Linked DNA regions of Pelodiscus sinensis. The protein of the gene in region 2 purifies or fractionates together with the protein of the main gene of each other region. This does not show direct contact. Links are inferred from orthologs where the notes say so. Each region holds a gene or a part of one and is shown on either strand. Other genes may lie near its edges. The genes, in order: MAFF, BACH1, MAFG and MAFK.

Evidence for each region.
Region 1: the proteins of BACH1 (region 2) and MAFF purify together in Homo sapiens (affinity purification with mass spectrometry; 3 studies listed by BioGRID and IntAct, counting the BioPlex papers as one, with this or other methods). This does not show direct contact. The link is inferred for Pelodiscus sinensis from reciprocal best matches to the Homo sapiens genes BACH1 and MAFF.
Region 3: the proteins of BACH1 (region 2) and MAFG purify together in Homo sapiens (affinity purification with mass spectrometry; 5 studies listed by BioGRID and IntAct, counting the BioPlex papers as one, with this or other methods). This does not show direct contact. The link is inferred for Pelodiscus sinensis from reciprocal best matches to the Homo sapiens genes BACH1 and MAFG.
Region 4: the proteins of BACH1 (region 2) and MAFK purify together in Homo sapiens (affinity purification with mass spectrometry; 6 studies listed by BioGRID and IntAct, counting the BioPlex papers as one, with this or other methods). This does not show direct contact. The link is inferred for Pelodiscus sinensis from reciprocal best matches to the Homo sapiens genes BACH1 and MAFK.

The regions. Positions count from the first base shown.
Region 1 is NC_134711.1:91,967,579-91,975,035, reverse strand, and holds the start of MAFF (transcription factor MafF), read left to right. Parts: upstream 1-4,452; 5' UTR 4,453-4,638; coding exon 4,639-4,652; intron 4,653-4,861; coding exon 4,862-5,047; intron 5,048-7,457. UniProt on the Homo sapiens protein: Since they lack a putative transactivation domain, the small Mafs behave as transcriptional repressors when they dimerize among themselves.
Region 2 is NC_134711.1:181,342,086-181,349,712, forward strand, and holds the start of BACH1 (transcription regulator protein BACH1), read left to right. Parts: upstream 1-4,611; 5' UTR 4,612-5,002; intron 5,003-7,627. UniProt on the Homo sapiens protein: Transcriptional regulator that acts as a repressor or activator, depending on the context. Binds to NF-E2 DNA binding sites. Plays important roles in coordinating transcription activation and repression by MAFK.
Region 3 is NC_134730.1:29,834,662-29,842,512, forward strand, and holds the start of MAFG (transcription factor MafG), read right to left. Parts: upstream 3,014-7,851; 5' UTR 2,847-3,013; intron 1-2,846. UniProt on the Homo sapiens protein: Since they lack a putative transactivation domain, the small Mafs behave as transcriptional repressors when they dimerize among themselves.
Region 4 is NC_134726.1:27,391,224-27,399,137, forward strand, and holds the start of MAFK (transcription factor MafK), read left to right. Parts: upstream 1-4,913; 5' UTR 4,914-5,001; coding exon 5,002-5,098; intron 5,099-5,373; exon of another isoform or gene 5,374-5,395; intron 5,396-5,659; exon of another isoform or gene 5,660-5,777; intron 5,778-6,166; exon of another isoform or gene 6,167-7,914. UniProt on the Homo sapiens protein: Since they lack a putative transactivation domain, the small Mafs behave as transcriptional repressors when they dimerize among themselves.

The DNA.
Region 1 (7,457 bases), about 89 Mb from region 2:
GAAACCAAGCGGCTGGTGAGCAGAGCTCGCTGCCACTTGGTGAGCCCTGCCTAGAACCATTGATGGCCCTAACCTCCTTCAATTTATCTAACTCTTTTTTGAACCCTGTTAAAAGTCCTGGCCTTCACAACAACCTCTGGCAAGGAGTTCCACAGGTTGACCGTGCGCTGTGTGAAGAAATATGTCCATTTGTTTGTTTGAAACCTGCTACCTATTAAGGGAAAGAAGGAAACACAGGAAGCATATGCACAAGATAAACAACGGGTCTTTTATCTCCACCCATCCAATGAAAAGATACAGGAAGTGAACCATACGCAAAAAGAGGAACAGAGAACCCGATAAACACTAAACACACATACACACCAAAGAGGAAAGCAAGCACCAAGCTGCAGCTCTTCTGTTCCTTTATTACGAGCTGACTTCCCTCTAGTCTCTGTCATTCCAGGAAGGCGCGTGGCGGTTTCGCTGTCCCCCAGACCTCCAGGGGCCTGGCTGCAATTGGAAACCTTGTGTCCAGGCCCTGCACAGCAGCTGAGCCATCCTTCCTGCTGAGGCTGGAAATTCCCTCCTAGCAGGGCCCCAGGCCCCCGCCTCTGCCCCAGCCAGAGCAAGGGCAGCACTTTGTTCCTGAGCCCCTGGCAGGGAGGGGACCCAAGCAGGCGCTGTGGCGCAGTGTCATTGGCAGGGGTGGGGAGCTGCCCACCTGGCAACGGGGGGGGGGGGGAGGCTGAGCCCAGCTCGTTGCCTAGCAGCGCTGCGCACCCTCCCCAGCTGGGTTGAGGGGAACGCGCCCCCGCCGGCTCAGCCAATGGGCCTCGAACCCAGACTTCCCACGTGCCAGAGCTCGTGGGGCTGCCACCCACCTCGAGCCCCCACAATCCTTAGCGGGCGGCTCAAACCCGTGCCCCTCCTCCCAGACTCGCTCCAGCTCCTGAGTCACTCACCTTCCGCTCACGGCTGCCAGCCGTCCCCACAAAGGACGGCGTCGTCACATGACCCCACTCTTCGCCAACCACAGCGCGCGTTCCTTCACTCTCCCGCCTCGCGCCGCTCCCTGGCCAATCACAGGTGCCGTCCCATGTGGGCGAGGGAGTGGGCCTGTGCGGGGGCCCGGATGATTTTTCCTTTTGAACGCCCAGTCGGAGTAGTGTAGTTCCGGCGGCGGCCATGTTTGAGCGAGGGCGGAAGTAAGGGCAAAGGACGGCGGTAGCATGACAGCCATCTTTGTGAGGGGCAAAAGACCCGCCCGCATTAAAGAGACAGTGACCTGAAAACGTTCCCCCATTTCTACGAAGCCGGAGCCTGGATTCTCCCGTTCAGTAGATTCTGCGCGAGGCAGTCTCTGTGGCGAGGGGCCAAGAGCCATTGCACGGCTCTGCAGAGCGCCCCAGCCCTGCAGCCAGGCTCCTGCTTGGGGCGAGGCGGGAAAGGGCCATTAACTCTGCCTGGGAAGTTTTGCAAATCTGCTCTTCTTCCCCTCCACACAGGTTCCCTGCGGGGTAAAACACGTGTCAGGAAATGTTTCCACCCTAAAACCCCCAGAACATGAAAACCAAACCGGATCTTTCCACTGCATGTCAACCACAGTGGAAGTCCTGAGCCCAACGCCCCTACCCACCCAAAAAGGCTTTAAAATAGTGAGGACCTGGCGGAGGATGTCAGGGCCCAAAAGATCACAGCCCATACAACTTCACGCAATTACCCCTGTGCTGAGCCTAGGAAGAGGTGTTGGACTACTGTATATCTTCCAGACAGGCATCCAGTCTTGATATGGAGATGACAAGAGATGAAGAGCTCTAGCCATTGTGTAACAACATGATGCTCTGGCCGAAAGTAAATAAGATGCTATTATGCTGCCAACTCTCATGATTTTGTCACAAGTCTCATGATAGATAATGCTTTCCTTAATGTCTGAAGATCATGAGTCAAGTGAATGTGTGATGATTTCAGCCTCCATTCTTAAATAAATAGTAAATTTATAGCCTTCAAAACTATGGAGAAAGCTTCAAAAAGTGCTCCCAGTGTCCCTTAAACTTTAGGTCCTAAAGGCTCAAAAAGCAGAAGGAAAATAAAAAGAACACAAAATCTATTATTTTACATAATCTTATTATTTTAAAGCCACTCTCAAGGCTTTTTGATGAGCCTGTCTCATGATTATTGAACATTTGGAGTGGGCAAAACTGGGCCCATGAAATACAGAACTATCCTAAAATGATTGGAAGGATGGCAAATTTAGTCCCTCTTTTTTTCTCAAGGACTGGCACCTGCATAAATGCAAATGCTATGCCCTGTGGCACAGAAATCACTAGCTATGTAACAGGGATGTCAAATCCCATTCAACCAATTAAAGGGGCTGGTCCCGTGAGGAAGTGTCCTACCCACTGGGGTCAGGCTAGAGCAGCCCTCACTGCAGGCAGGGACTGCTCCAGCCCAGCTGCTCCCGGCTCGCCACAGGGGCTGCCGCTGCAGCTCTCAACCCTCCCACGGGGGCTACCGCTGTGGCTCCTGGCAGTCCTGTGCGAGGGGCCTGGCAGGACTGGGCCACGAGTGGATGGATGCTCCCAGATACCATTAAGAGTGATGCTCACTAGATAACCATTTAACTGTGTACCCATTAACATCCCTACTAAGTAACTCATATGACTGAGTTTCTCGAAGAGATGATAGGAGGCGCTAACTTTTTTTTTTTTAAATCCCACTATATTACAGTGCAGTACTGGTCTAACACTTCAGTAACATCAATGCCATTACTGCAGGTTAATTTTATAAAGGAGAGTAAAACTAAACTATGATGTTCTGATGGCTGACACTAGCCAGGAATCACCCCCGTTACAGTTCCTTTCTTTCTGTATTCCTCCATGCAGAACTAAATGCTGTGCTAAAATGTTTATCTCCTCCCAATTACAAGACCCTAAATAATGCAAGGAGATTCCTTCATTTTTCTCTGACCTTGAAGGCAGCAGGCCAGATACTGGAAAATTGCAACTGCTCGGTGCATTCAGGAGAGTTGTGTGACCAGATAATCTTAGTATCCTATGATTGGTACTCTAAATGATAAAGGTACATCGTATGTTACAGACAGTAAAAAAACTCCTTTTTATAGATAATCTTAGACATGTCATTCCTATATGATGCGTCTCACCACACACAACATATTGATATAACCATTCCATAAGAGGACAGGTGAAACCTTCCACTATTTAAAAATACTTACTTCAAAAAAAAACCAACCCGCCACTGCTTCCTCTTTCTCCCCATTTTTACATATACAGTACTTATCCAACATTTTAAAAGAAACTATGTAAAATCCATTCCTAATCATGAGTGCTTTGAAGTCCTCAGAGCAGTGCTGTCCTCATCCATACATATGTGGAATATGCAGTTGTGTAGGGCACCTTAAAATTTGGGGCACCACTGGGTCTTAATGTCCTCCCATCCACCTCTTCTCATCCCCATTCTGTGGCTCTGCTTTCTCCAGAGACCATCTAGTTAACTTAAAAGTAAAAAAGCCTGCCAGACTTATTAGCAGAATATTGAACCTGGGAAAGAGCCATTCAAGTGGTAATGAAGCCATTTAACAGGCATTTGCCAACTGGAGGTATGTACTATCAGTTTCTGAATTTACTGTGTTAAGTCTACAAGGACTTTCGTTTAAAATTTGCTTTAAAATATTTAATTAGTGTGTTGCTGAAGACTATAAAATCACATCTCTAAAATATTGCCCCCCACCAGCTGCCATCAGGTATAGAAGTACCAGTTTAACAGTACTGCATAGGGCCCCATACGTACTAAGGAGGGCCCTGCTTCAGATGCAAGGCATTATTAAGAACACAAAAATAATACTCTCCACTGCTACAATGCCTTCTACCCAAGGAAATCAATGCACTTTGCAGAGAGAGTTAATTTAGCCTTACAAGAAGTCTGGGTGACAAGGGAATGGTCGATATCCCCAGGTCACCAAGGGGAAACATGCGATACTAAATGATTTTCCTAAGTGAGACAAGGTGAGTGAGGTAATGCTCTTAAGTTTTGCCTTTTTTGTTGTGGACTTTCCATTTTGGATGATAGATTTTGATATCTTCCGTTGTTGGATGCAGTGCAGTTGTAGCTCTGTTGATCCCGGGATATTAGAGACAAAGCCGGGGAGGTAATATTGCCCAGGTGACAAACTCAGGACTACAACCTACACCCTCCATTTCCCAGTGCCGTGCAAAACAATAAAATCATCTCTCACTATAAAAGTACACAACATTACTAATTATAAAGGGCAGCAGTCAGAATGGTTATTACTATGTACAAGGAGAACAAACATGCATGGTGGCCCTTTAAGATTGATGCCCAGCACCAAGATGGCAGCTTCCTCTTGTTTCGAATGCCTGTGCTGTGCCCTTCCCTAAGATGGAGAAAGAGGGAGGGGAAACAATGATGTCATCGCATGACTGTGTTTTTATGAATGAAAAGAATCCTGTGAGTGAGTAATTCCAGGAAACTCATATTACAACTCAGCAGATCTCAGCCCAGAGTCCAGCTCCTCTCCAAACAACAACTTCAAACAAGGAGACTAAACCGAAACCATTAGGGAAAAGGATCTCTAAAGGGATAAAGAAGGGAGAAGAGCAACAACAAAGACTCAAAGCAATGAACACAGCACAGTAAGTGAGAAGTCTCTGTTCAGCTGTCTCCCACCCCTCCTTAGGAGAGATGTTTACAGACTTCAGAGAGCTCGGGGTGGTGTGTTTATGTCGCTGGCTGTGTATGTGTGTGTTTCACCAGTGTGAGCTTTTTGTTTTTCTTGTGCCCTCCCTAACCAGAGAAGGATAAAACGCCTGAATGATACAGCTCTGTGGTGCTTTTATTTTAGGACTGCGTGTGTCCAGCTAGAAGGAGGGTTGATGTCAGCTGAAATGAAGATGGGCGAGAGTGTGTCTGGCAAAAGACATGGTTGTCTGGACTTAAGTTCTGGACATAAGGGGTGTATCTTCAGAGAAGCATGTGGGGAGAAGAGCAATGCAGAGGATCAAAGTGTTCAAAAGCACAGAGTGTCTCCGTGAGTGTGCATTCATGTCTGTTTTTCACACACCCATTGCTGAGCTTAGACAGCTGTGCGGGCAGGAAATCTCTCAATAACAGAGAAGTTACTCATGGTGCAAATTAACGATGCGTGGGGCATGTATATATGTGAGTGAAAGAGAGGTACAGCTGAGGCCCTGATCCATTGAGACTCCTCCAGCACATTTAATAATCCTAGAGATGTTAGACCAATCCTGAGAAAATCTAGGATTACCCTCTGCCTCGGATTTTTCAGGATGGTCCCTTTTTAAGATAGTTGTCCTGGGAAATATGTAAGGGTGCTTAGTACACACTGCGTGCTGCTTAGTTTTATAGGCTCAGGATCATCCCAGATACCCAATTTTTGGTACCTCAAAGGTGGCAATCATAGCCAAATCCCATCCAGGGTAAACTACAAAGACTCCATCTTGTGTTCTCTGCTTCATCTTGAGCTCCCATTAGCTTCAGTGGTAGTATTAGCTATGTGACAGTTGCAAAATTGAGCCCCTAAATTCCTTTTGAGGTTTTGGTTGGATAAATATTCTTTTTTCTTTACTTTCTGTCCTTAATTTTTGTGTAGTACTTCTGTGCACTGTTGAGCAGCTGCTGTGTTTCAGCCCAGAAGTGATTGCATTTTAGTGGCAGGCAAAGTGATCCCTATGTAAACTGCATAGCTTGGGAATGAATTTACAAAGTACTTAGTTCTAGGGAAAAATGTGCTAAATACAGTGATAAATATTTGCCAGCAGATGCCATGGAAATATCAGACTTATTTCTTATTCTGAGGGCATGGGGGAAGGTGTGACACTGGTATACATACCAACATATGAGGATTTGTGGGCAAATGTTGAATTTTTAATGACTACCACTGAGTATTAAGTATCGGTCATATTTGTGAAAATATGTTTACTGTTTCTTTAAATCTGTAGCCGAAAGCCAGGCAGGAAGGGCAGGGGAAAGTTGGAGACAGAAGTTCTATAGGAAACTAGAGAAAATAGCTTAGGGTTAATACTTTCTTCATGTTCAGTGTTTAGAATTAAGCGACTCATTATCACATGACAACTATTATATCAGATCCCACACAAATTTTCAGAGGTAAGGTTGCTAGGCTGTGACTCCTGCTAAAGCAAGCCATAAAAAGAAAGGAAAGCAACAGTTGTGGAGACAGTCAGTGTCCTCCCACTAATGCAACACTCATCTGTTCCTCTTCTGACCCTCAGATAATCCTTTTACCACCCCTAGGTCATACACTAGTATCTCCACCAAAGTTCCCTGTAAAATGAGTGATTGGCTGGACACCCAGGAGAGATTCAGGTGCTGCTCTGCTGATTTACCAGAGCACCCACAGTTGGCAGCATGTGTTTCTATTGGTAGTGCACATCTGCACATGCCTCAGTTCATATACCAAAATTTAATCTGCACATGGATGGAAAAAATTAGAGGGAACATTGATTCCATCTTCCTTCAGTGCTTGGGATGCTGCTTAGCACCCAACATTGCTGGGATCTGCCTCTGCTGATTATCCCTCTGCCCAAACACTGAGGATATGTCTACATTAGGCAGCTTTTAGGCAGGAGAGTGTTCCCATTTGCACTTGCCATGGCAAAAATTTTGTTGTGTGTGGTAGGGATGTAAGAGACTAATCAACTATCCAATAAACAGAAGTTTATCAGATAGTTGACTAGTGATATAACTAGTTACTTCACCCGTCCCCTTGTTGCCTCAGTCAGAGAGAGACAGCGGCAGGGGGAACAGGAGCCAGTGCTGGGGGGCTGGCTTAAAAACCAGTTTCCCCCAGCACCAAGTCTGCGGGGGACAGGGGAGATAGAGGAACAGTGGAAACAGCGCAAGCGGGGACTGAAGTTGTCTCTGCTTGCACCACTTCTTCTGTGATTCTGCTTTTGAAATGCACAAGAGCCCCAGCAGGGCTCTTGTCCATTTCAAAAGCAGAAGCCCTGGGGGATTCCCTGCTGATCCCCTTCCCTGGGGGGGGAGGGGGGATTCCTTTTGAAATGTACAAGAGCCCCACCCAGACTCTTGGACATTTCAAAGGCTGAGGCACCCACCGGCAGGGCTCTTGCTACGGTTCAAAGGCGGAGATGCCCCTATAGACTTACTGAATAATTGATGGAAATCCCATCGACTATTCAATTAGTGAATTAATCTAAATTTAACATCCCTAGTGTGTGTGTGGGCAGGGGGGTGGGGGAGGGAGAAGGGGCATTGTATCAGCTGTGAACAACAAAAGCTTTGTTGATCAAATGCAAGTGTAGACATAGTCTGGTTGAAGATTTCTCCAGGCAGATGCCTCTCTTCAGGGAGAGCTACTCCCCACCCTTCAAAACCTGGTGCAGAGTGAGAGGAAAAGGTCCAGTTTTCCTTTCCTTGGACTGCCGAATGATAATCCC
Region 2 (7,627 bases):
CTGGGCTGTCTACACTGGCCCTTTTCCGGAACAGTGTTCCGGAATAAGGACTTATGCCCGAGTGGGAGCAGAATAGTTTTTCCGGAATAGCGGCTGATTTTGTACAGTAGAGCATCATTGCTTTTCCGGAAATTCAAGGGCCAGTGTAGACAGCTCGCAGCTTATTCCGGAAAAGCGGCTGATTTTTCGGAATAAGTGGCCCAGTGTAGACACAGCCATTGGGTAATTGAGTAGTGACTTGACTAGTCACTCCTCCACCGCTGCCTCTGTCAGAGAGGCACAGCAAGTGTGTGGGGGATGAGGGGAGGGGATCAGGAGCCAGTGATGGGGGGGAACTGGCTTAAAAGCCATCTCGATGGGGCAGGGGAGGCAGAGGCATAGTGGGAGACTGGGTGCAAAGCAGGAATCAGTTGATTCCCGGCTTACTCCTGGTCCCCCCTGCTGAGCATCTGCCTTTTAAATGCGTTAAGAGCCTGGCAGTTCTTAATACATCTAAAAGGCAGAGCCATAGCGGAGTTTCCCCCCTTATCGACTAATTGAGTAGTAAATGGAAATTCCATTGACTACTCGATTAGCTGACTACCCACAATTTAACATCCCTAATTCAAAGTATAACAAAATTAATGAGTCTTGGTTCTAATTCTTAACAATGGAGACCTGAGGTTATATGCTTCATTACATACGTGCCATTGTACATTTAATAAATGTCATTTTTAATTTTTCACTCAGGTTCAAGAAGCAAGATACCATGGCCATCATTTTAGGTGGTGAACAAGGGTAAAAGCTTTTAATCTGAAAACAGACTTGAAGTAATGAGGAACTTTAATGACCCAGACATCTGTCTGAACAGCATGCCAGAAACCAAATTGTTCAATAAGTTCTTGGACCGTACTGTGGACCACTCTGTTTTAGAAAGTAGAGACAGTAACCAGGGGGACAGCCATTTAAGAGTTTGTGCTGAGTAGAGAAGAATTGACTGTAAGTTTTAAGGTGGTAGACAATCTGGGTGAAAATCATCATGAAATAATAGTTTTCTTGAGTATAAGGAAAGGTGGAAGTCAGAGCAGAGGAATAAGGGCAATTGACTTAGTACACTTTTACAAATTCAGAGAACTGTTATGTAAAGTACGTTGGAAAGAAAATCTAACAGATAAAGCAAGTTCAGGAGACCGGACAGTTTCTCAAGGAGACAACAGTAAAGACACAACTACAAATTATCCCAATTTAAAGAAACATAGGAATAGGAAGAGGTCAATATAACTATTAGGAGCCCTTTAAAATAAAAAAAAAATTCTACAAAATGCGGGAACATGGACAAATTGCTAAGCAGGGGTGCAAAAGAATAGCACAAGCACATAGAGTTACAAAATTTACAGAACAAAATGAATTACACCTACCAAGAAACATAAGTTCTTTAATTATATTAGAAGCAAGAGAGAGTGAGAGAAAAATATGTCTTTTACTTTTCAGGGAAGGAGCGCTAATAACTGTGGACATAAAGGCTGAAGTTTTCACTAAGAAGATTAATGATGATCAGATATTTAACACAATTAATATGAACAAAGGGGGAGGGGAAAGGAAGCCAAAATAAGGAAAGAACAGGTTAAAGAATATGTACGTAAGCTAGATGTACTGAAGTTAATATGGTACTGAAATTCATCCTAGAGTAGTTAAGGAACTAGCTGAACCATTAATTATCTTGGAGAATTCTTGGAGGACAGGTGAGGTTCCAGAGACCAGCAGAAGGATAAACTTATACCAATCATTAAAAAGGGGAACAAGAAGATCCTGGGAGCACTCACCTCACTTCAATATCTGGGACGATATAGGAGCAATTAAAATTAAACAATTTGAAAGCAACCAAATGATAACAGCATTATAAGTTACACCCCGCAGAAAGCGCTTTCACTAAGACATGTGGCACAGTCCCATATAACGTTTTATAAGCAAACTAGGGAAACACAATGTAAATTTAATTATTATAAAAGGGGTGCACTAGTTGAAAGACAATCACACGATTAGTTGATAAAGGGAGCCACTCTGCAGAGCCACAGTGGGGATAGTTCCCAGCTCACACCTGCTCCAGAAATGCTCAGTCCCAGCTTGCACCAAGTCTAGCAGCCCCTCTTCGTGGCAGCCTGAGTTGGCCGCAGGCAGGGGCTGCTGCTGGAACGGCCTCTGCCCATGGCCAGCCCAGACCCCTGTGGACAGGGCCTGCCCTGAAACAGTCTCAGCTTGCTGCAAGCAGATAGAGATAGGCTGATAGAGGCGGGGAAAGCAGCACTACAGAGACAGTGCTGAAGGGAAACCAGCTTTTAAGCGGACTTCCCCCCAGCACCAGCTCCTATTCTCCCCCTTGCTGCCTCTCATAAAGAAGCAGCAGTGGGGGAAGGGGGAGAGGAGAAGGAGGAGGGAGAGAGGGAGTAGTCAGGTACTCAGCTACTCGCTTACATCCCTATTTGGTATTATTATGAATGACTCAGATAACATTAATAGGAAACCCACTTTTAAAAGTTGATGATGACACCAAACTAGGAGAGATTGCACATACTTTGGAAGATAGGATTGGAATTCAAAGTAATCTTGATAAAATGGAAAGTCAGTCTAAACAGATTAAATTCAATAAAGACAAGTGCAAATTATTTCACTCATGATGGAAAAAAAATGCTCAACTGCAAGATACAGAATAACTAGTAGAGATGCTGAACGGAATATAGGAATAATAGTGGAACACAAATTGAGCCCACAGTATGTTGCAGTTGTGAAAAAAAGCATTCTGGGATGTATTAACGGAAGTGTTGTGTATTTAAGCCAAGGAATGTTACTGTCCAATTGTAACAGTGTGATTCACCAGCACAGTGCCTCCTGTTGGACACTCTGGGAATTAGGTTTTTAGCTCTGGAGCACTTCCTTTCAGCAGGTGTCATTCTTCCTATGAGCTCTGCCACTCTGTTAGGACTCACACTCTTCCAAGACTATGGTACCCTTTCCCCTTGGTACTCTCCTGCTGCAGTGCCTCCACACTCTGTGGTCTTCCCTTTCTAGGAACCCTTAACTCCCTATGTCCCCCCCCTTGCCTCAGAGACTCACTGCCAATCTCCATCTAGCCCCTGCCAGAGGGATAGACTGCAGTCTGAAATGACCACTCATCATAGGCAAGAGAGTGTGGACCTACTACCTTTGCCTACCCTGGCTGCCCCCCTGCAGAGGTAGTACTTGCCTAGGAGAGCTTCCCCAGCACTGCTCTAAGTTAGGAAGCCTCTAGCTTCCCTGGTAGCTAGGTCCCTTCTGCTCTACAGCTGGAGCAAGAGTGAATCCAAACCTCTCCTTTCCCTCCAGGAGCCTTTATTTATTTATACTTCCTTGAGATGGGCCCTAATTGGCTAATTCCTGCCAAAAGCTGCTGGCTCCACAGATCCACTGCTCCAGCCCTCTCCCAGGCTGGGTTTTAACCCTTAAAGGGCCAGTGTGGGGGCAAATGCCCCATCACACCCACTCTACTTGACACTGGTGAGGCCTCAGTTGGAGTTCTGTGATTAATTCTGGGTGCCACACAATGAAAAATGTAGACAAATTGGAGAGTTCGTAGGAGTCCAACAAAAATGAGGTTTAGAAAAACCTAACCTACGAGGAAGGATTAAAAGAACTTGGCATGTATTCTAGAAGAAGACTGAGGAAGGACCTCATAATAATTTTCAAATACAGCAAGAGCAATTATAAAGAGGACATTGATCAACTGTTCTCCCTGTTCACTAAAGGCAGGCTTAATCTGCAAGAGAGATTTAGGCTAGACAGCAGAAAAAAAATTCAAATCATAAGGGTGGTAAGCTCCGAAAGAGGCTTCCAAAAGAGGTTGTGGAAGTCTCATCACTGGAGAGTTTTAAGAACAGGTTAGACAAACACCTGTCAGGAACAGTCTAAGTTTATTCGGTCCTGTTTTGATACAGGGTGCTGAAGTTGATGAGCACTCATGGTCCTGTCCAGCCCTATGTTTCTGTAATTTCAACACATTTTTATTTCCTCAAAACTGCTGCAAGGTTTGGAGTTATTTGTTCCACTGTGGCAGAAAACCAAATTTCAAAAGTTTCCTTGCAATGGCATCGTTGCCTTCCTTAGCTCGAGTGCTTGGGGCTGGAGTCGCTCTGCTTCCTCTAAAGCTCGGGAATCCAGCCCACAACACTGACCAGCTAACATTGTGCAATGAGCATCTTCACAGGCTTCCCAACACAGCTACCTCACGTGAGAAAAGGGGCAAGCCTGGGAAACCCTAGCCAGGTAACAAGCCCCTGCGGATGGTTGGGAGTCTACATGCGGGTGAGCAGGGGCTGTGCACAGGCGGCCATGAGGCCTTGCATGGGGCCTTGGCTTTAGCGTGCGGTGCTAAACCCCGGATTCACACAGCGCGCGCCACCATGCCCCGGAGCGAGGAGCAGAACGTTCCAAAGCCCAACGGCCACGCTCGCGCCCCCCGGGGGCCACGCTAACAGCTCCGCGGCGGAAAGAAAGCGACGGCGCTGAGCCTGACGCGCACGCGCGCTGTAGTCAACGTTGGCGTCAGAGCGTCGACCGGGCCGGCAGCGTCCAATCAGCGGGCAGGAAGTGAGGGGTCGGGGCAGGGGGAGGAGGACTGTTGTTACGGGTCAGCTGATTCCTTCCCGTCGCCGCAGTTCGGGGCAGCTGAGCCCTGCCTGGGCCTGGGGAGGACGCGCCTGTCCCGCTGGCGGAAGGTGAAGCGGGGAGCGCAGCTGTTGGCGCCGCGGGGCTCTTCTGTGGCCGGTTCGGGGTCAGAACCCGCCTGGGGCTGTGGGACCCGCGCCGCCGCTGGAGGGGAGCTCGGCGAGCGGGGCCGTGTCTGCTCCCTTCCCCCGGCACCTGGGCCGAGGTGGGCAGCTGTCCGGGCGCCACGGGCCCTGAGCGCTGGCTCTGCCCTGGCTGCCCCCGCGCCGTTCCTGGTGAGCCGGGCGAAAGGAGCAGGGCTGCCCTCGGACCCGCGTTGGGACAGGTACGTAGCAGCTGCCGCCTCCGCGCCCGCGTGGCTTTGCGTTGGCAGGTTTTTCCATGAAGTCCGGCGCTCTCCGGAACCGGGCACTTCACTATTCATCGTTTCCCTGCTGCGTGTCCGCCGGCCAGTGTGCTTAGGGCTCACCCCACGCCTCCCCCGCCCCGGAAAATCGCCCTCCTCCTTTCAGACAAAGGAGCCCCTCAGTCTTACTAATTTGGTTTTAATGGTTTGGTTTGGATGAATCTCCTAATTGTGAGCATTACGGCGTCTCTCATCAATTGTAGAAGTCCAGCCGATTTCAATTTAGACTTTTCCGGGAAGATGTGCTTTTAGTCTGTACTGTGAGAAGCCTCGCATGTGACGGGCATTGGAAAATCAAATTGAAAATGACAATTACGGAGAGGTTGTCACCAATTTAATAGTTAAACTAGCAGTGAGAGGACCTGAATTGGCATTTTTAACACCATAATACTGCAGTAATTTCAAATTCATACAGACCTGCATCTTGCTAAGTGCTAATTATTTTTAATCAGTTGTGAGCAGTTATACAGTTCCAAAACATTACAGGATAAAAGACAAAATAGTTTGACACACCGTGTAGATCTCTGGGTGAAAAGAGAAAGCATGGCAGTATTGTTATACATAGCTACAACCCAAGGGAGCATGCCTAAAAACTATGGCTCCACAGTTAAAGAGTATGTCTATGAAAATCCAGGGAATGGTACAGTCCTCAGGGCCCCAGCAGGAACATCTACAGTGTTGTTTTTAGCCCTGCAAGGTGAGCCACAGAGCCCAAGTCATTGACCTGAGTGTTGCAACTTAGCACTATGGGTTTCTTTCCGTCATACATATACTCTGCAACCAATTCTGCTCCCCTGAAGGCTGAAGTACTGTAGTTGTCTGTTCTTTAAACTCAGAATCACATGACATAGCTGAAAATAAATATGAGTTTGAACTAAGTGTGCTGAGAGAATGTGGACATATATTTTCATGCTTTTGTGGGTTTGTCAATCTGTAAGTAATTGTACTGAATTAATTGAGACTACTCATGTGCATGAGTATCTGCAAGATTGAGGGCCTAATTTATGAATGGTTTGATGCTAAACAATTTCAAGTGTTTCATAATGGGAATTTTTAGGCACTGTTAACTTTTTTTATGCTAAAATCATCTGAAATTGTTTATGGCTGTTGATGTCAGCATGTGTTGTTATTGCCCTTCTCATTTGCTGTTGTTGGAATCACCCGGGGGGGGGGGGGGGGGGGGAGATCCTGCTTTCACATTTTATTACCCTAATATGACCATCACCATTGTGTGTAGTGTGAATGCAGTTTTTCATACATGATTTATAGGAGCAAGTCTCGAGTGCTCTTTTTTCAAAATTAGTGAAATTATAATCTGGAGAAAAATAGATCAAGTAGGCATAATTCTTCTTTCATGTTAAATATGTTCAGAAAATGTATGCACATATGAATCCCCTACACACATCTGAGCACCCTGCACCAACTTTTCCAAGTGTTTGGTATGGCCAGACCTCTTAGTTCTTTTTTCAGATTATTTTTTGTTAAATTCTGTAGCTGTTGTGAGGATACGTCTACACAGCAGTGTTATTTCAGAATGACTGACATTATTCTGAAATAACATAGTGCACATCTACATTACAAGCCTCTATTTCGAAATACTGTTAAGCTGGAGGACTTCTTACTCCAATTCATGGTAACCGTCATTTCATGAGGAGTAAGGGAGGTCAAAGGAAGAGTGTTTATTCTTTTGACTTCCTACAGTGTAGACAGCACCAAAAGCTGAATTAAGCTGTTTTGACTTAAGCTATGCAGTTAACATAGCTGAAGTTACATAGCTTAATTTGACTTTAGCCCTACTGTGTAAATGCACCCTGATTATGGAAAGAATCTCTTTTTTTGGTTCTTTATTTGCTGCCTAGTTACTTGCAGGTATTGACCACACATGATTCCCTTCACTCAGGTGCAGTGATGCTTTTAACTTGAGTTGATTGGCCCTAGAGGGGAGGGTAGCCCAGGGTTTATTTACAAAGTTGCTTTATTGCTCTGTAACTTTCTTGCTCAGGGGTGTAAAAAACATTCTTCTCTCCTCTCTCTTCCCGCCAGCTAGCAAGTTACAGTGCTGTCAAGTGCAGTGTAAACACACTCACAGTACTGTTAGCTACTCCCTTTGTGGCAGTGGTTTTATCTAGAGCCCATTGGTGCTGCATTTAAAACTTCAATGGTGACAACTTGTTGGCTGAATATGAGTTAGCATACCCCTTTTCCTGGGGAGTGCACAGCCAAAACTTGTCAGCTATTAGTTTTCATCCACTCTATTGAATGTGTTAGTGCTGATAGTCCTCCAGTACCTTCCTTATTTACTACCCTGCTCCCAGATATTACCAACGAGGAAGAATTCATAGTGCCCTGTTTACTGAAACAATAAAGCCATGCGATGTACCTCCAGAAAAACTAGTGCCACATAAATGAGTGCACTGCCTGTGTGGCTATAACTGTAATATTGTTTTACATGACCAATCGCTGGAGCAAGGCCAAAGCCTCATTTTTTCTAGAATAAGGCTTGTTCTTAACTTGCATTATGTAACACGAGAGTGTTATTAATTT
Region 3 (7,851 bases), on a different chromosome or scaffold from region 2:
CCTCTCAGCTCAGAGCCCCATACCATTGCAGTGGAATTACTGGCTAGCAGACTGTGGGACACCGCAGGTTCGTTGGCTCTAGCAGAGTCCTCCTGCAGCGTACATCTTCACAGCCAAAGGAATCCTACAGGCAGCTCTTCACACACACCTACCCCAGCCAGGGGAGCTGGGAGAGCCAGCAGGAGCCTGCACCTTTGCTGACCACCCAGATAAGAGGGAGAGCACATGCTGCAAAGACTAACATTCTAGTAAATTCCCAACACGTAGGATAACTTGGGGCAGAGGCCATACATGTAATAAAACCATCCACCAGAATAACAGACCATGCTTATCTGGACCCTTCCTGTCCCTCCCTCTCCCTCCCCTTCCCCCGCTCCCTCAAACTCTGAGCATGTTTAGGTCAGGAAACAGGCCTTCTGCAGGGCTTGGAAGTGCCTGGTGCATTTTAGGGGCTACTGCACTCAAAGCAACAAACATGAGGGTTCACCCCGATACTGGAAAGCGTGACCTAGCATTCTGAACACAGGACTGGGAAGCAAAACACCCAAATCCTCCTCTTGGCTCTGCACTTACTGTGTGGCTTTGGGGGTGTTTCCACTTCTGCAGTGCGAGGTTGCTTGCCTGGTAGCTGGGAGCTTAATTCATTAACGTTTTGTACTAACTGACATTATGAATAAATGTCTTGCTACTACTATACGGTTCGGTTTGATAGGTAGGAGCTTTAGAAAAGTTGTGTGTGGGCTGGGAAACTTAACACAATGGCTGACATTGTGTCAACTCTGTTTCTATGGCAATGTGTTTTTAAAGATCACGCAAATGGAGTTAGGACTTGTCTACACTTACAGTCAGGCGCAGGAGAACACACCACAGTGGGCTACTTATTCCACAGCTGGTCATTGAAGGATTTCTCACACTTTCCTCTAAAGCAACTGGTTCTGGTTGCTGTCAAAGACTGGACTAGACAGACCACTGGCCTGAGCCAGTCTGGCCATTCCTGAATTCCTATAGGCACTGCACATACACCTAGAAGTAGGCAAGTATCTGCCATGTGCTTTTAAAGCCTTTGGCAAGACGTCCTGGAGAATCACAAAACATCCTTCAAATTACTCTGTAGCAATTATTGGCTGTTATTGTAAAACTCAGATGCACCCTTGACAGAGCTGGTCAAGGGCCTTTAGTAAAGCAAAGGCACCCCTGACCCTGGGCATAGCTACCAGAGGTGTCAGGCCTGACCCCACTTGTTTTGTTCTTCTGCCTTGTGGCCTCAGCATTCAGCCTTAGCAGAAATCTTGCTCAGGGAGAGATGGTGCACTTGTTGCACACAGAGTTTTTGGCTATTACCCAAGGCTCCCTGGTGTCCCACAATGGTGGGGTTAGTTGATTTCTGGGCACTTTGAGTAGATCTGTAGCACAGCTTTCCCCGTTATGCTTACATTAAGGGCATGCTAGCCCCCTCAGACCAGCCCTTGAAAGAGTTGTATTTAGGGGTATGAGGAGCATATGTAGCTCTGGGGCCCTGCGGGTGACTAGGGGAAGACTACTGCCCTAGCAGCTGAATCACCTGGAACACTAGTGAGGCAGGAGAGGAGCACAGGGTGTTCCAAGTACACACAAGCATGGGAGAGGTACCCAGAGCAGCCTGCTGGTCTCACAGCAGGAGCCCAGCCCCAGGGCTGGTTCTGACCTGGAAGTGTGCTCAGAATCCGCACTATGCCCCCCCAGCACAGCCGCCCGTCTCTACGCCCCTCACCCCCCAAACCTACGGTCTGTAACTCCCCCATTCGCCCTGCTGCCCGCAGCCCCTCCCGGCAGCGCCGCACACGAGGGGAGACCTGTCTCCATGACACCGCCCCCCTCGGCGATGAGTCAGCGTGTCAGCCTCGGACGCCCTCCCCATCCATTTGCAGACACGGACCGACCAACACGCCGGCCCCTGGTCCACGAGTCCCTCCCTCCCTCCCGCCGAGCGCCCCCTTGGCACCGTCTACCCGGTGACCTCATGCTGATGAGTCAGCAGCGTCTGCTCAGCAAGCACAAGGGGCGCGGGGCGGGGGGCGCGGGGCAGGCACCGGCAGCTCGGAACCCCCCGCCCGGCGCGACCCGCAGCGGCCCCCGACCTGCCTGCGCATCGCGCGGGGCAACAGCAGCGAGCAGGCATCACGCGTCCGCCCCAGCGAGCCGGGAAGGGGGGGCTCGCCGCTTGCTCCCCCCCGGAAGGGGGGCTCCCTACTCTCCCCCCCCCCAGTTTTCCACGGAAGGGGGCGCCCCGCTCTCTTCCCCACCGCGGTCTCCTCCTTCCCCCCCCACGTTCCCGAGGGGGCTCCCGGCGCTCTCCCCCGCCCCCCGGAAAGGCGGGGGGTCCCTGCCCCCCCCAGGCCCGGGGCAGAGCGGGGGTCCCCGGAAAGGCGGGGGGGTCCCTGCCCCCCCCAGGCCCGGGGCAGAGCGGGGGCCCCCGGAAAGGCGGGGGGGTCCCTGCCCCCCCCAGGCCCGGGGCAGAGCGGGGGTCCCCGGAAAGGCGGGGGGGTCCCTGCCCCCCCCAGGCCCGGGGCAGAGCGGGGGCCCCCGGAAAGGCGGGGGGGCCTCTGCCCCCCCCCAAGGCCCGGGGCAGAGCGGGGGCCCCCGGAAAGGCGGGGGGGTCCCTGCCCCCCCAAGGCCCGGGGCAGAGCGGGGGCCCCCGGAAAGGCGGGGGGGTCCCTGCCCCCCCCAAGGCCCGGGGCAGAGCGGGGGCCCCCGGAAAGGCGGGGGGGTCCCTGCCCCCCCCAAGGCCCGGGGCAGAGCGGGGGCCCCCGGAAAGGCGGGGGGGGGTCCCTGCCCCCCCCATGGCCCGGGCCCCGCCGCGCGCTCACCCGCCTCACGGTGCGGCCGGGGCCGGGGCTGGGAGGGACCGAGACTCCGAGATCCGCCGCCACCCGCCGCCGCTCACGGACACGTCACGTGATGTTTGGGTCACGTGGCTCCATTCATGAAGCGCCCGGCGCAACCGCCCCGAGCCTTAAAGGGAAGGAGGCTGCGGCCATTAGTGTCGGGGTAAAAAAAAGACAAGGGGCAGGCGGGGCCTTAAAGGGAAGGGGGCGGGGCGGGGCTCGGCTCGCCTGGCCACGTGCTGCGGGCAGCGTGCGCGGGAGCAGCTGAGCCGGGCCGCCCCACGTGGCGCATAAGGGGGCACGCGGCTCGAGGCAGCTGGGCGGGGTCGCTGCGTGTCCGGGCCGGGGGCGGGGCCCGGCTTAGGTGGGAGCCGGGAGGCGGGGCCTGCGCTGCCCCCCAGCTCAGAGCTGCAGCGGGGGGGGCAGCACACACAGCCCAGGGGGCCCGGCCTTGCTAGCTGCAGTTACACCGTGACGGGGGACTCAGTCACACACCCCCCCCCACCGGGAGCTGGTGGAATCTCCCTCTCTGGAGATATTTCAGAACAGGTTAGTGGCCTCTCGAGGTCCCTTCCAGGCCTATGATTCTATGATCCAATTAGCATCATTAGCTTGGGTCCTGCGCTTGACAGGTGGGTTCTGCTTACAGTAATTCCTCATTAAACACTAAACACTGTTTCTGAAAATGTTCATGCTGAGCAAAAATGTGCTATGGAGTCAATTTTCCCATTAAAAAGAATGGAAAAGGTGGGGGTTGCATTTCAGGTGGTGGTGGCAAAGTCAATTTTTTGTTGGTGCTGGGTCGGCAACGTCAGCACTAGGTATCTAGCACCACAAGTCGCCTGGTTTGTTAAAACACAAAGATAAACACGAGTGAGCGGAGAAGCACTGTGATCACGTGTATTCATCTGCTCAAGCATATTACCAGGGCTACAAATAATGTAATCTACTCACCCATGGCGAGTAGATTACAACCCGGAAGAGCCAGTGCAGAGTGATCTGCGCATGCGCAGAGTGCAGAACCACACGGCTGGCGAGCCCTGCATATTACCACTGTTTTCACCAACTTATATTGCTGCGTGAAGTAGTCTGCTACTTGATTATTTTTGTGTTATTTCGGGGACGGTCATGTTATTTGAAAAAAGGTCCCCAAAAAAATCGTGCTATTGCGAAAACGAGTTAAGCGGGCACATGTTAAACAAGTAATTACTGTATTCTGGATTCTGCTATTTCCACTCCAACTCACCAGATGAAGTGGGTTTTGTCCCACCCAGCTTGTGGTCTGATACATTTGTTAGTCTCTAAGGCAGGGCCGGATTAAGGGGGGGAGCTAGCTGGGCAGCTGCCCAGGGCACTAACCTATGGGGGGCACCACACACCCAGGGCCAGAGGCCGTGCCCCTTAAAGCTGCCATCAGGCTCCGCGAGCCCAATTGCTGCTGTAAGGTGCGCAGCGTGCCGGGGGGCAGGGCTGTGCATGTGCCATGTGCCCGGGGATGGAGCTGCACATGCATCGTACGCCTGCTGCCCAGGGCACAGGAATGGCTCGAGCCGGCCCTGCTCTAAGGTGCCACAGGACTGCACTTGTTGACAAAGAACACTGCATTGCACACGTGCAGAAGTCGGAAGAAGAAATCTTGACTGAAGTTGCAGGAGAGACACCAAGCTAGAAGGAAAGATCTGCATTGTACACTTAGTGACATGATAGCCAGACCTAGAGAATGTAGAAGAGCCCCCTGTGCTGCAGCAAAAAAGGTGGCAAGTGTATTGTGCAATGTGCAAAGTGAAAGGAAAAGTGCATGTTCTGCGTGTTTGTCTTCGCCTGGGTCTGATAGAGCTGAAGGAGAAGAAGATAGAGCTGGCAGGAAATACTGTCCTAAGGAGAATGGCAGGCAAGCAGAATGTAGACAGAGGCACATGGAAGAAACCCCAAAGATGAACTAAGGCTGAAGAGTGTATGTTCAAGGTGGACAGGTAATAAGAATGGTCAGCGAAGAAACCAGGCGAGCGTGGGCCAGCAGCCGGGCTATGGACAGTGACCAGTGCCAGGTGCGTGAGGGGGGTGAGCAGAGTAATCCTTGCCTGTCATGCACTTCCAGCTTTTGGCAGCAGAGGTTAGGGACACCTGAAACATAGGCTTGTATCCCTGGCTACCGTTGTTAATAGCCACCCATGGACCTCGCCCACATTCTCCTGGTTTCTAATGTATCTGTGAACTTACCTAATTCCTTTTGAAAGACTGTTATTATTTTGCCATTTGCAACATTCCCAGCAACAAGTTCCACAAGTTGTCTTGCGTTAAATACTTTTTGTTGTGTGATCCTTGTTTCTTGTGTTTTGTGAAGGAGCAAATAAGCACTTTAGTTATGTTCTCCACACCTGTCATGATTTTATACATTATCATGTCCCTTCCAGTCATCTCTTTTCCCACCCGATTAGTCCCAGTCTTATTAATTGCTTCTCATATGGAAGCTATTCCAAAGCCCGAATAAATTGTGTTGCCCTTTTCTGAACCTTTGCCAGTTCTATTGTATCTAATGCACATCTGTATGGTGCACCATGGATTTATTTAGAGACCATGTGATTATAGAATCCTAGGGCTGGAAGAGACCTCAGGAGGCCATCGAGTCCAGCCCCCTGCCCAAAGCAGGACCAACCCAACTAAATCAGCCCAGCCAGGACTTTGTCAAGTCGGGACTTAAAACAGTTACGGATGGAGATTCTACCCCCTCCCTAGGGAACCCATTCCAGTGCTTCACTCTCCTCCCAGGGAAATAGTTTTTCCTACTATACAACATAAGAACATAAGACCGGCCGTACTGGGTCAGACCAAAGGTCCATCTAGCCCAGTATCCTGTCTACCGACAGTGGCCAACACCAGGTGCCCCAGAGAGGGTGGACCGAAGACAATGATCAAGCGATTTGTCTCCTGCCATCCCTCTCCAGCCTCTGACAAACAGAGGCCAAGGACATCATTTTATCCCCTGGCTAATAGCCTTTTATGGACCTAACCTCCATGAATTTATCCAGCTTCTCTTTAAACTCTATTATAGTCCTAGCCTTCACAGCCTCCTCTGGCAAGGAGTTCCACAGGTTGACAACACGCTGTGTGAAGAAGAACCTAGATCTCCCCCACTGTAACTTGAGACCATTGCTCCTTGTTCTTGTATACAAAAGATATTTTGTATCTTATTATATTTCCCTTTTGTAATATTTCCTAATATTGTGTTGGCTTTCTTTTGACCACTGTTGTACACTGAGAAGATGTTTTTTCCGAGAACTATCCACAATGACTTCAAGATCTCTTTCTTGAATGGCTCCAGTTAATTTAGACTGTCATATTGTACGTATTCTCTTTGGGATTATATTTTCCAATGTGCATTACTTCGTACTTATCAACAATTAATGTCCTCTGCTATCTGGTTGCCCAATCATCCAGTACAGTGAAACTCCTTTGTAAGACTTCCCAGTCAGCTTTGAACTGAACTATCTCAAGAAGTTTTTGTCTTAACTGCATATTTTGCCAGATCACTATTTATCTTTTTTTGCAGATAATTTATGAATATGTTGACTAAGATTGGGCCCCATCCTGGGAGACACCACTAGTTTCTCCATTCTGAAAACTGACCATTGTTCTCTACCTTGTAACCAGTTACTGATCCATAAGCATGTTCCCTCTTATCCCATGACTGCTTAGTTTCCTTAAGAGCCTTTGATGTGGGACCATGTCAAAGGCTTTCTGAAAGTCTAGGTATACATGCAGTCCCCGAGTTACGCGGATCCGACTTATGTTTTTCTCGCCCTGGAGGATGGAAGTGGCGGGATGCCCAGATGCGCCACGGTCCCGCCGCCCGCGTCCTCCAGGGCGAGAAAAGCTGCTCCACGTCTCCCTGGTCTGCTGGTGGCTGTCCCGCTGCCAGCGTCCTCCAAGGCTTTACTCCCCGTCTCCCTGGTCTGCTGGTCTCCAGCAGACCAGGGAGACACGGAGCAAAGCCACGGAGGACCCGGACGGCGGGACCACGGTGCATCTCGGTCCGCTGCCCGCGTCTTCCTGGTCTGCTGGGGGGTGGGCGCAGCTAGTGCACCCCCCACCCCCAGCAGACCAGGCTTTTCTCCAGACGCCTGTGGTAGAGCAGCTGGGGCGCTGCTGGTTGGTCCCGCAGTGCTGCTCTAGGCACTACTGGACCAACCCAGCAGCACCCCAGTTGCTCTGCCCCAGGCATCCTGATTCCCCAGCAGCGGCTGAATCAGGACGCCTGGGGCAGAGCAGCTGGGACACTGCCGGTTGGTCCCGCAGTGCTGCTCTGGGCGCTACTGGACCAACCCGGCAGCACCCCAGCTGCTCTGCCCCAGGTGTCCCCAAGTCAGCCGCTGCTGAAACTGACCAGCGCTGACTACAGGAAGCCAGAGGCAGAGTTGCTCTGCCCTGGGCTTCCTGGAATCAGCCGCTGATCAGTTTCAGCAGCAGCTGACTTGGGGACTCCTGGGGTTCTTAAGTTGAATCTGTATGTAAGTCGGAACTGGCGTCCAGATTCAGTCTGTTGAAACTGATCAGCGGCTGATTCCAGGAAGCCCGGGGCAGAGCAACTCTGCCTCGGGCTTCCTGTAGTCAGCCGCTGGTCAGTTTCAGCAGCGGCTGAATCTGGACGCCAGTTCCAACTTACATACAGATTCAACTTAAGAACAAACCTACAGTCCCTATCTTGTACGTAACCCGGGGACTGCCTGTACTTCATCCACTGGATCTGCCTTGTCTACATATTTGTTGAACCCCTCCTAGAGTTCTAATAGATTGGTGAGGTCTGATTTCCTTTTAGAAAAGTTGTATTGACTCTTCCTCATCATAGCATGTTCATCTATGTGTCTGATAATTCTGGAGGTTTTGTTTTTCTTTAAATTTCAGCAATCCAACTGGTACTGATATTAGGTTTACCAGCCTGTGATTGCAAAGCCTATTGGAGCAGGCTTTTTAAACAATGGGTGTCCCA
Region 4 (7,914 bases), on a different chromosome or scaffold from region 2:
GGCATCCATGTCAGCCAGTGTTCCCTACCAGTCAGAATGCCCTCAGGGGCTGCTGGAAGTCAACAAAATCTAGAGTGGCCATGCTGTGTTGGGAGAGCCACCCAATGATCAATACCCCCATGATGGGGAAGCACAAAGATGACTAACAAATTGTCTTTGAGTCCTTATCTTGAGCTGCAGATGTGCTCTTTAGGCATCCTCCAGGCTCTTGGGTCAGGGTCCATATTGTAGTTTTATAAAGAAGGGTTGTAAATTTGTGAGGTTTGACTGCAAACAGCACTGCATCTGTGTTAGGCAGTAGCTTTATTTTAGCAGCCCTGAAGCTTTAGCCAGCCTAATTCAAAAGGTATGTGATTTGTACAGTCATTGAATACCCAGCAGTGGGAAAGAGAAGACGCTGAGAACCAGCTCCCTGATTTTCTGCCTCAGAAAAGGTTAGAGCAGTCTAGGAATGCTATAACTCGTACTATCCAAATATGGGTTCCAAAGGAACTAGCTAACAGTGGGAATAGCCAGAGCATTGTGCGGTCCAATCAATTCCCTGTCCTGCTCTCAATGTATCCCCTAAAATAGGTTGTGGGGCACAGTTGGAAGAGCTGGATATGCTGATTCAGCACCCGCCAGAGACTCCCTTTATTCCAGAGGACTCTCCCACAGGGAACTTGCAGGTGGCTTCTGCCCCTTTGCACTGCTTGAGTAGCACGAAAGGAGTGGCACAAGGCAAAGCATCTGGCTTAAACTATTGACAGCAGCCCCTTGATCTTTTTTTAAATAATGTTTGGCCCACAGTTTGAAAAGGATTAACATCACTGGCTTAGCAGACATCGTTTCAAAGGCATAGCTACAAGGCCAAGTGCAGAGAGAGTGAAAGGCTGGTTTTAAGACACTCAGCCTTTCATATGTTCTAGTTAACAGTCCACAGTATTTCATCTGCATAGCCTAAAAATAATTAATGTATTACTATTGGGGTTATGTAGGTTGAGCATATTGTTGATATTAGGTTCCGTGAGATGGTGTTGCCACATCTCAGGATTTTACTGAGCTGCAGCTTTAAAGCTCTAGCTCCCTAAGTCACTGACTACATGCGACTCTTGGTTTTTTAAAATGAAAGCTGTTTCTAGCCCTCATGGTTATAGAGCAAATCTTCACAGGAATCCTGAAGGCTCAAAAAGCAGAAGCAAATCAAAAGAACCTGACATTTATGATATACTAGTAGAAGACTTACCCGGCATTGCTTGGGTTCTTCAGGGCAGGGGGCTGGCAGTGTGGGGGGACTCAGGGAAGAGCCTTGGAGTTGTAGGGAGGGTAGGGCAAGAGGCTGGGGTATGGGAGTCAGGGTGGGGGATTGAGGGGAGACTCAGGGCTAGGGATGTAAAATCCTGTTTAATTGGTTAAGTGGTTAAACATTAAACTGATTAAAGGAACCCAAAAAGGAATTGTGTGGCGGTTGCAAGGTTATTACTACCCTTACTTCGGCACAGCTGCTGGCAGCAACACTGCCTTCAGAGATGGGCAGCTGGAGAGCAATGGCTGCTGGTCAGGAATCCAGCACTGAAGGCAGAGCTACCACAGAGCTGGGCCCTTAACAGCTACCACTCTCTGGTCAGAACTATTCTCATCCTTACTTCCGCACTGCTGTTGGCAGGTTGTTGCCTTCAGAGCTGGGTACATGGCTAATATTACAACCACCACTCTGCAGCTGCCCAGCTCTGAAGGCAGTGCAGAATTAAGGGTGGCAAAACCCTGATCCTTCTAAAATAACCCTGCAAGCCCTCCCCTCCATCTGTCCCACCTTTGGATCAGGACCACGCCCCCCCATTTGAGAAACACTGGTCTCCCCTGTGAAACCTGTAGGCTGTGTCTAGACTGGCCAGTTTTTCCAGAAAATCAGCCGCTTTTCCAGAAAAACTTCGCAGCTGTCTACACTGGCCGCTTGAATTTCCGCAAAAGCACTGACTTCCTACTGTAATAAATCAGTGCTTTTTGCGGAAATATTATGCTGCTCCCATTCAGGCAAAAATTCTTTTGTGCAAAACTTTTGCGCAAAAGGGCCAGTGTAGACAGCCCAGATTTGTTTCCCGCAAAAAAGCCCCGATCGCGAAAATGGCGATCGGGGCTTTTTTGCGGAAAAGTGTGTCTAGATTGGTCATGGACGCTTTTCCGCAAAAAGTGCTTTTGCGGAAAAGCGTCCGTGCCTATCTAGATGCTCTTTTCTGAAAATGCTTTCAACGGAAAACTTTTCCGTTAAAATCATTTCTGGAAAATCATGCCAGTCTAGACGTAGCCGTACAGTATAGGGTAAAAGCACACAAAAGTCCAGATTTCACAATCTGTTACACATTTTGCATGGCTGTGAATTTGGTAGGGTCCTACTCATAAGAGAATGGGGCTTAAGTTTTCTAAGCACTGTGTAGAGATCTCATTTTCTCTTATCAGATTCCAACCTGATACATAGTCAGGCTTGGCAGAATTCAGTTTAAAAATAATTTCAACTGATATCTATATTTAAAAATATTTGTGTTAGCTTAAATTTTCACAGGAACACAAAAGTGTGGGTTTCATGCTTTTTTCAAATTTTATCAATTTAAATTTTCTTAATTGTGGGAAGTTTGAGCAGGATCAAAATTATTTAATGATAGTGAGCACTGAAACTCAAAACATTAAAGATGTAAAGCTTTATAACAGTTAAAATGCACATTATTAAAATGGCATTTCAAACAAATATCCTTAACTCAAAGTTCTCAAGCAGCATTTTTCCTGCTTTGCTTACCTGTACATTTCAATTACTGATGGATTTTTGTCTGTATTTTGATTATATTGATGTTTACCAACAATTACTGATAAAAAAATAAAACCCTTCCAAACCCAAATATAGTGTTTTATGGTAATTAGATACTAGTATTCTCCTCTTGTGGACTTTGGTATTACATAAAAGTCACACTGAAACTCAAGGAAGAAGCACTTTGAAATCAATATGACTGAGAAAAAATTGAAACTGAAAGCCATTTTCTACTCCATTGCCAAAATTAAGGAGAAAGACTACATCACAAGATATCAGAAATAACATATTAAAAAAAGCAAGGAAGAAAAATTGCTTAATTCTAGAAGAGGTGAAAGATTATTTATTATTTGCCTAGGTGCTTGGTGCTGTACACGATACCAAAATAAAGACAATCTGTACCTTCTGGACCTGACACACATATAGAAGACAAAACAAAAAACAGGACTATGTAGCACTTCAAAGACTAACAAGATGGTTTATTAGGTGATGAGCTTTCGTGGGCCAGACCCACTTCCTCAGATCAAATTGTGGAAGAAAATAGGCATGACCACATATACCAAAGGGATACAATCAAAAAAAGTGAACACATATAAAAAGGACAAATCAAATTTCAGAACAGAGGGCGGATGGGGGGGGGGGGAGGTAAATGTATGTGAGCTAATGATATTAGAGGTGATAATTGGGGAAACTATCTTTGTAATGGGTAAGATAATTAGTGTCTTTATTAAGTGTCAAATTTAAGCATGAATGACAGTTCAGAGGTTTCCCTTTCAAGTCTGGTGTTAAAATGTCTTTGAAGCCCATGGCGAGTAGATTACAAGCTGACACAGCCACGCAGCACGGTCTGCGCATGCGCAGCGTGCCGAACTACGCGGCTGGTGAGCGGGGCTCGTCGTCGTTTGGCGAGCCCTGTATATGGTCATGTCTATTTTCTTCCACAATTTGATTTGAGGAAGTGGGTCTGGCCCACGAAAGCTCATCACCTAATAAACCATCTTGTTAGTCTTTAAAGTGCTACATAGTCCTGTTTTTTGTTTCAGCTAGACTAGACTAACACGGCAACATCTCTATTACTATTATAGATGACAAAAGGCACTGAAAAGCCCAGATGGGAATAATTTAAAGGCAACCCCCTTATCCATAGTGAAAGTAACTCACTTATTAGTATTGCGGAAGAAGAGATTATGAAAGCAACTTTACAACATGTGACCATCAGCCATTACTTCAGAAATTAACAGTGCTCCTAAATAGTCTACAGAGGCTTAACACTAGGGCTGTCCTTAGGCATATGCAGAATACACAGCTGCATAGGGCACCATTAAATTTGGGCAATTTAATGGTGCCCTAGGCCACTGGTGGCTGCATAAGCCTCGGGTCACTGAAGCTGGGATGGGACAGCAAGGCATGGACAGTGCCAGCTGTGGTGGCCAGCCCCATCCCCCGGTCCTTCTGCAGGATGCGCCCAGCCACTGCTCCCCCACTCCACCTCACTGGAGCCTAAAGCAGGGCCAAGTTTCCAGAAGCAAGGAAACTGGACAGGGTGGCAGAGCCCTGGGTGGCAGGTGGGCCCCAGGAGCAGAGCCAGTGGTAGCTGGGAACCCACAATGTGGGGGTGCTGCAGCACCCCACAGTTCCCACACCTGCCTCCTTGCTGTGGCCAGGGGCCCCCAGACAAACACACACTTTGCCCTCTCTCGCGGACAGGCGCGACCCATCCTGGGGGCTTTGAAGCTCGGGGCACAAGCCTGAGCTAAAAACCAGCTGGCGCTCAGGCTGTGGCACCGACTCGTTCCCTCCCGTGGCCGAAGGGCCAAACCACGGGAGAGCGAACCACGCCCGGCCAGCGTGCGCGCTGCACTTGCGCTGCTCCTCCGCCCGGCGCTCCCGGCAGGGAAGCGGGGTCTGGGCACAGGGATGGCAGCTCCCGGACTCCGCTGTCAGGAGCCCAGCTGGAGCAGCGGGCAAGCCCCACACTCCGGCGGGAGCAGGGCTGGCCCCGCCCCCTGTCCGCTCTCCATGAATGAAGAGGGTGGGCGTGGCGCGGGGTGACGCGCCACGAAGAGTGGGCGGGGCCAGGTGACGCGAGGCGTGACGCGCGATCCCGGAAGCGGCCCGGCCCCTGGTTGGTCGGCGCCCGGGCGGGAGGAGAGAAGGGGGGGGGGCCGAGCTTGTTGTTGTTCCCGCGACTCGCGCGCACACACACACACACACACAGAGAGATGCTGAGAGGCGCGTCCCCGCCACCATTCCCTCGCGCCGCGCGCGGCCCCGCCGCTACCGCCACCTCCCCCCGCCGCGCGCTCCCGACAGGCCCAGGTAAGACGCAGCCGCCCCCGGGGTGCGGCAGCCGGGGCGACTGGGCAGGGGCCGCGCGGAGCCCCCGGGCCGGGAAGGGCCGGGCTGCCGCGTGGGGGCGGGGGGGCACCTTGCAGCCCGGGCCGGGAAATTTGCTGAGTCACCATCGTGTGGGACACGTGGTGTCCGCCCCGTCCCAGACCCGGGCTGATGCCGCGGCCGGTCCCGCGCTCGGGGGAGGGGGCCGCTCACACACGTGGCTGCCCCAGCCGGGGGCCCCACCACGCGCTCGGCGCCGGCGGGCGGGGCGAGGCGCAGGTGGGGGGAGCCGCGGCCAGTGGGGGCGGGAGCGGCGTGGGGCAGGCGCCCGCCTGGCTCCGGGCAGGAATTGGGGGGCTGACGGGGAGAAGCGCTGGGGGGGGCTGCCCCACATCCCGAGGGCAGGGATCTTCACACTTTTATCCCCCCTGATGACCCAGTTGATGAAAATTGTTGAGACTCCTGACCCATCATAAGAGTGTGGGGCCCGGGGTGGGGCTGAGGATGAGAGCTTGTTTTGGGGGTGGGGCAGGAGGGGCTTACTTGAAGCGGTGCAGCAGCAGCGGTGCTAAACAGGCTTCCTGCCACTCATGGCACCACAGACCCGGCTGCGCCCCAGACACATCCAGCAGCAGGTTCCCAGCCAATGGAAGTGCGGAGCTAGTGCTCAGAGCAGGGGCAGCGCATGGAGCCCTGTGCACTCTCCTCCCCCACTCACGTAGGAGCTGGACCTGCTGCTGGTGGCTTCTGGGGTACGTTACAGTTTGTGTTGTCAAGACATGCAGGTAGGTGCCTTAGCACCCCTATTGATCACCCTGTAGCAAGGAGACCTGTGTCTGATGTTCCATGACCCAGTACTGGGTTGCGCCCCATAGTTTGAAAATCACTGTCTTAGGAGTAGGTGATCAGAAGAGAAGGCTAGAGGTGAAGCTGGGTGGCAGTGGAGGGGGTACAAGGAGCACTGTGGATTTTAGGGTCAAGTAAAAGAATGTGGATGGGGAGAAGAGCGCAGAAGTATATAGGATTAGTATTTTCCCGGTGGGAATGTCTATGGGGTGCTGGAGTAGGAAATCTGAGCAGGGAAGAGAGGAGAGGTAAATGGAAAGATTGGGAGGATTTGGGGACCATTTTGTTTCAGGCAAGATGAATAGCAGAGTCTGGAATGGTGTTTTAATTGAGGAGTATGTGCCTGGCAAAAAGTGCGTTGGGACAGGAGGCTAGGTAGGTGGAGAGAAGGACAGGGCATTAAGGAGAGAAGAGAGGGATGGTGGTTGGGACTGAGGCTATTTCTATACTGTACAGGCAATCCCCGGGTTACGTACAAGATAGGGACTGTAGGTTTGTTCTTAAGTTGACTTTGTATGTAAGTCGGAACTGGTACATATTGTAGGGGAAACTCTAGCCAAACATTTCTCCAGAGCTCAGTTTTATTCTCCCGCACCTCACTTCCCTCAGTCCTTTATTCTCAAGCTGAGGTGTCTGCTGAGAAAAGCCGCTCCGCGTCTCCCTGGTCTGCTGGGGGGAAGCAGCTAGTGCAGGGTTGCCTCACCCCGTTTGTAAGTAGGGATCCGATGTAAGTCGGATCCATGTAACCTGGGGACTGCTTGTAGTTTTGTTGTTACAACTTCTGTCACTTGAGTTTGGAAAAAATACCCTTGTGGATGACAAAAGTTGTGGACACTAGTGGGAAAGCTTCTCCCTCTGATACAGCTGTTGCCCCTTGTTGGGGGAGGTTTTATTTTGTCCTCATGAGAGCTCTCTGTGATGATAGAATGGCTACACTGCATGTCTTATGACTGATAACTGAAGGGAGTTAATGTTTGGGCTAGAAGCACTGCATCCACTGTAGTGTTAACAAGCTGTATGATTCAGCAAAGCAACTCTACAGGTAAATCCTTCAGCATTTTGATAGTGCTGATGGTGTAACATCTGAGCTGTGGTGCTCTCTCTTAATTTAACATTCGTGCATAGTTCATCTCTCAGTGATTTTCTTTTGCCTCTCCTTGCAATCCCTGTCACCAACCATTCAAATGACATGCAGAGGAATCTATGCATGCATGTTGATTGCACACAGCAAATACCTGAAAAAGGACAACTGCTAGAATTTAAATACTGCTGCAAACTCTACTACTTACAGTATTAAAGGGAATTGCAATTTCCTAGATTTTTTTTGTAATTCTTTGGATTGTGTGGTCCATGACAAATGGACACATCTTCATATGATCTCCTGAGGTGTTGAAACCCACATGTTGCTTAGTCACCTGCTCCACATGGTCACCCATGAGACTGAAAGATCCTCCTGGTTAAGCTGTGGTCTCGGTAACTAACAGAAGATGCCATGCATTTTGAATCCGAATGGCCAGAAGTTCTTGCTACAGACACTGGCATGTTTTCTATACTGTTAAGGCCAAAAGCTAGTGGAGGAGGGGGACACTGAACCCACATCTTAATGGTGGTTTTCCTGAGCTTGTGCCATAGGACAAGCAATTAAGATTGTGTCTAGTTCTGAATGGTTCTAGCAAAGCTGTGCCCTGGGACTGACTTTGAAAAATAAAGAGGGCCTTGAAAATTCTGGATAAAAATCGGTATGGGTCCACAGTTGAGTGGAACACTGAGGATCTGCAAATGCTGAAAAGCAGGTAACTACCACTGTCAGTTTGCATCTCAGTGGCGTTTATCCTCCCTAGAAAATACCTTTTTGCTTAGAAAAGAGTTGTTCTGGGTTAACAATAACGTTCTGTGCTGATGTGGAAAAGACAGGTTCAGTTTCCTGGCCCACTCCTACTAGACTGGCTGAG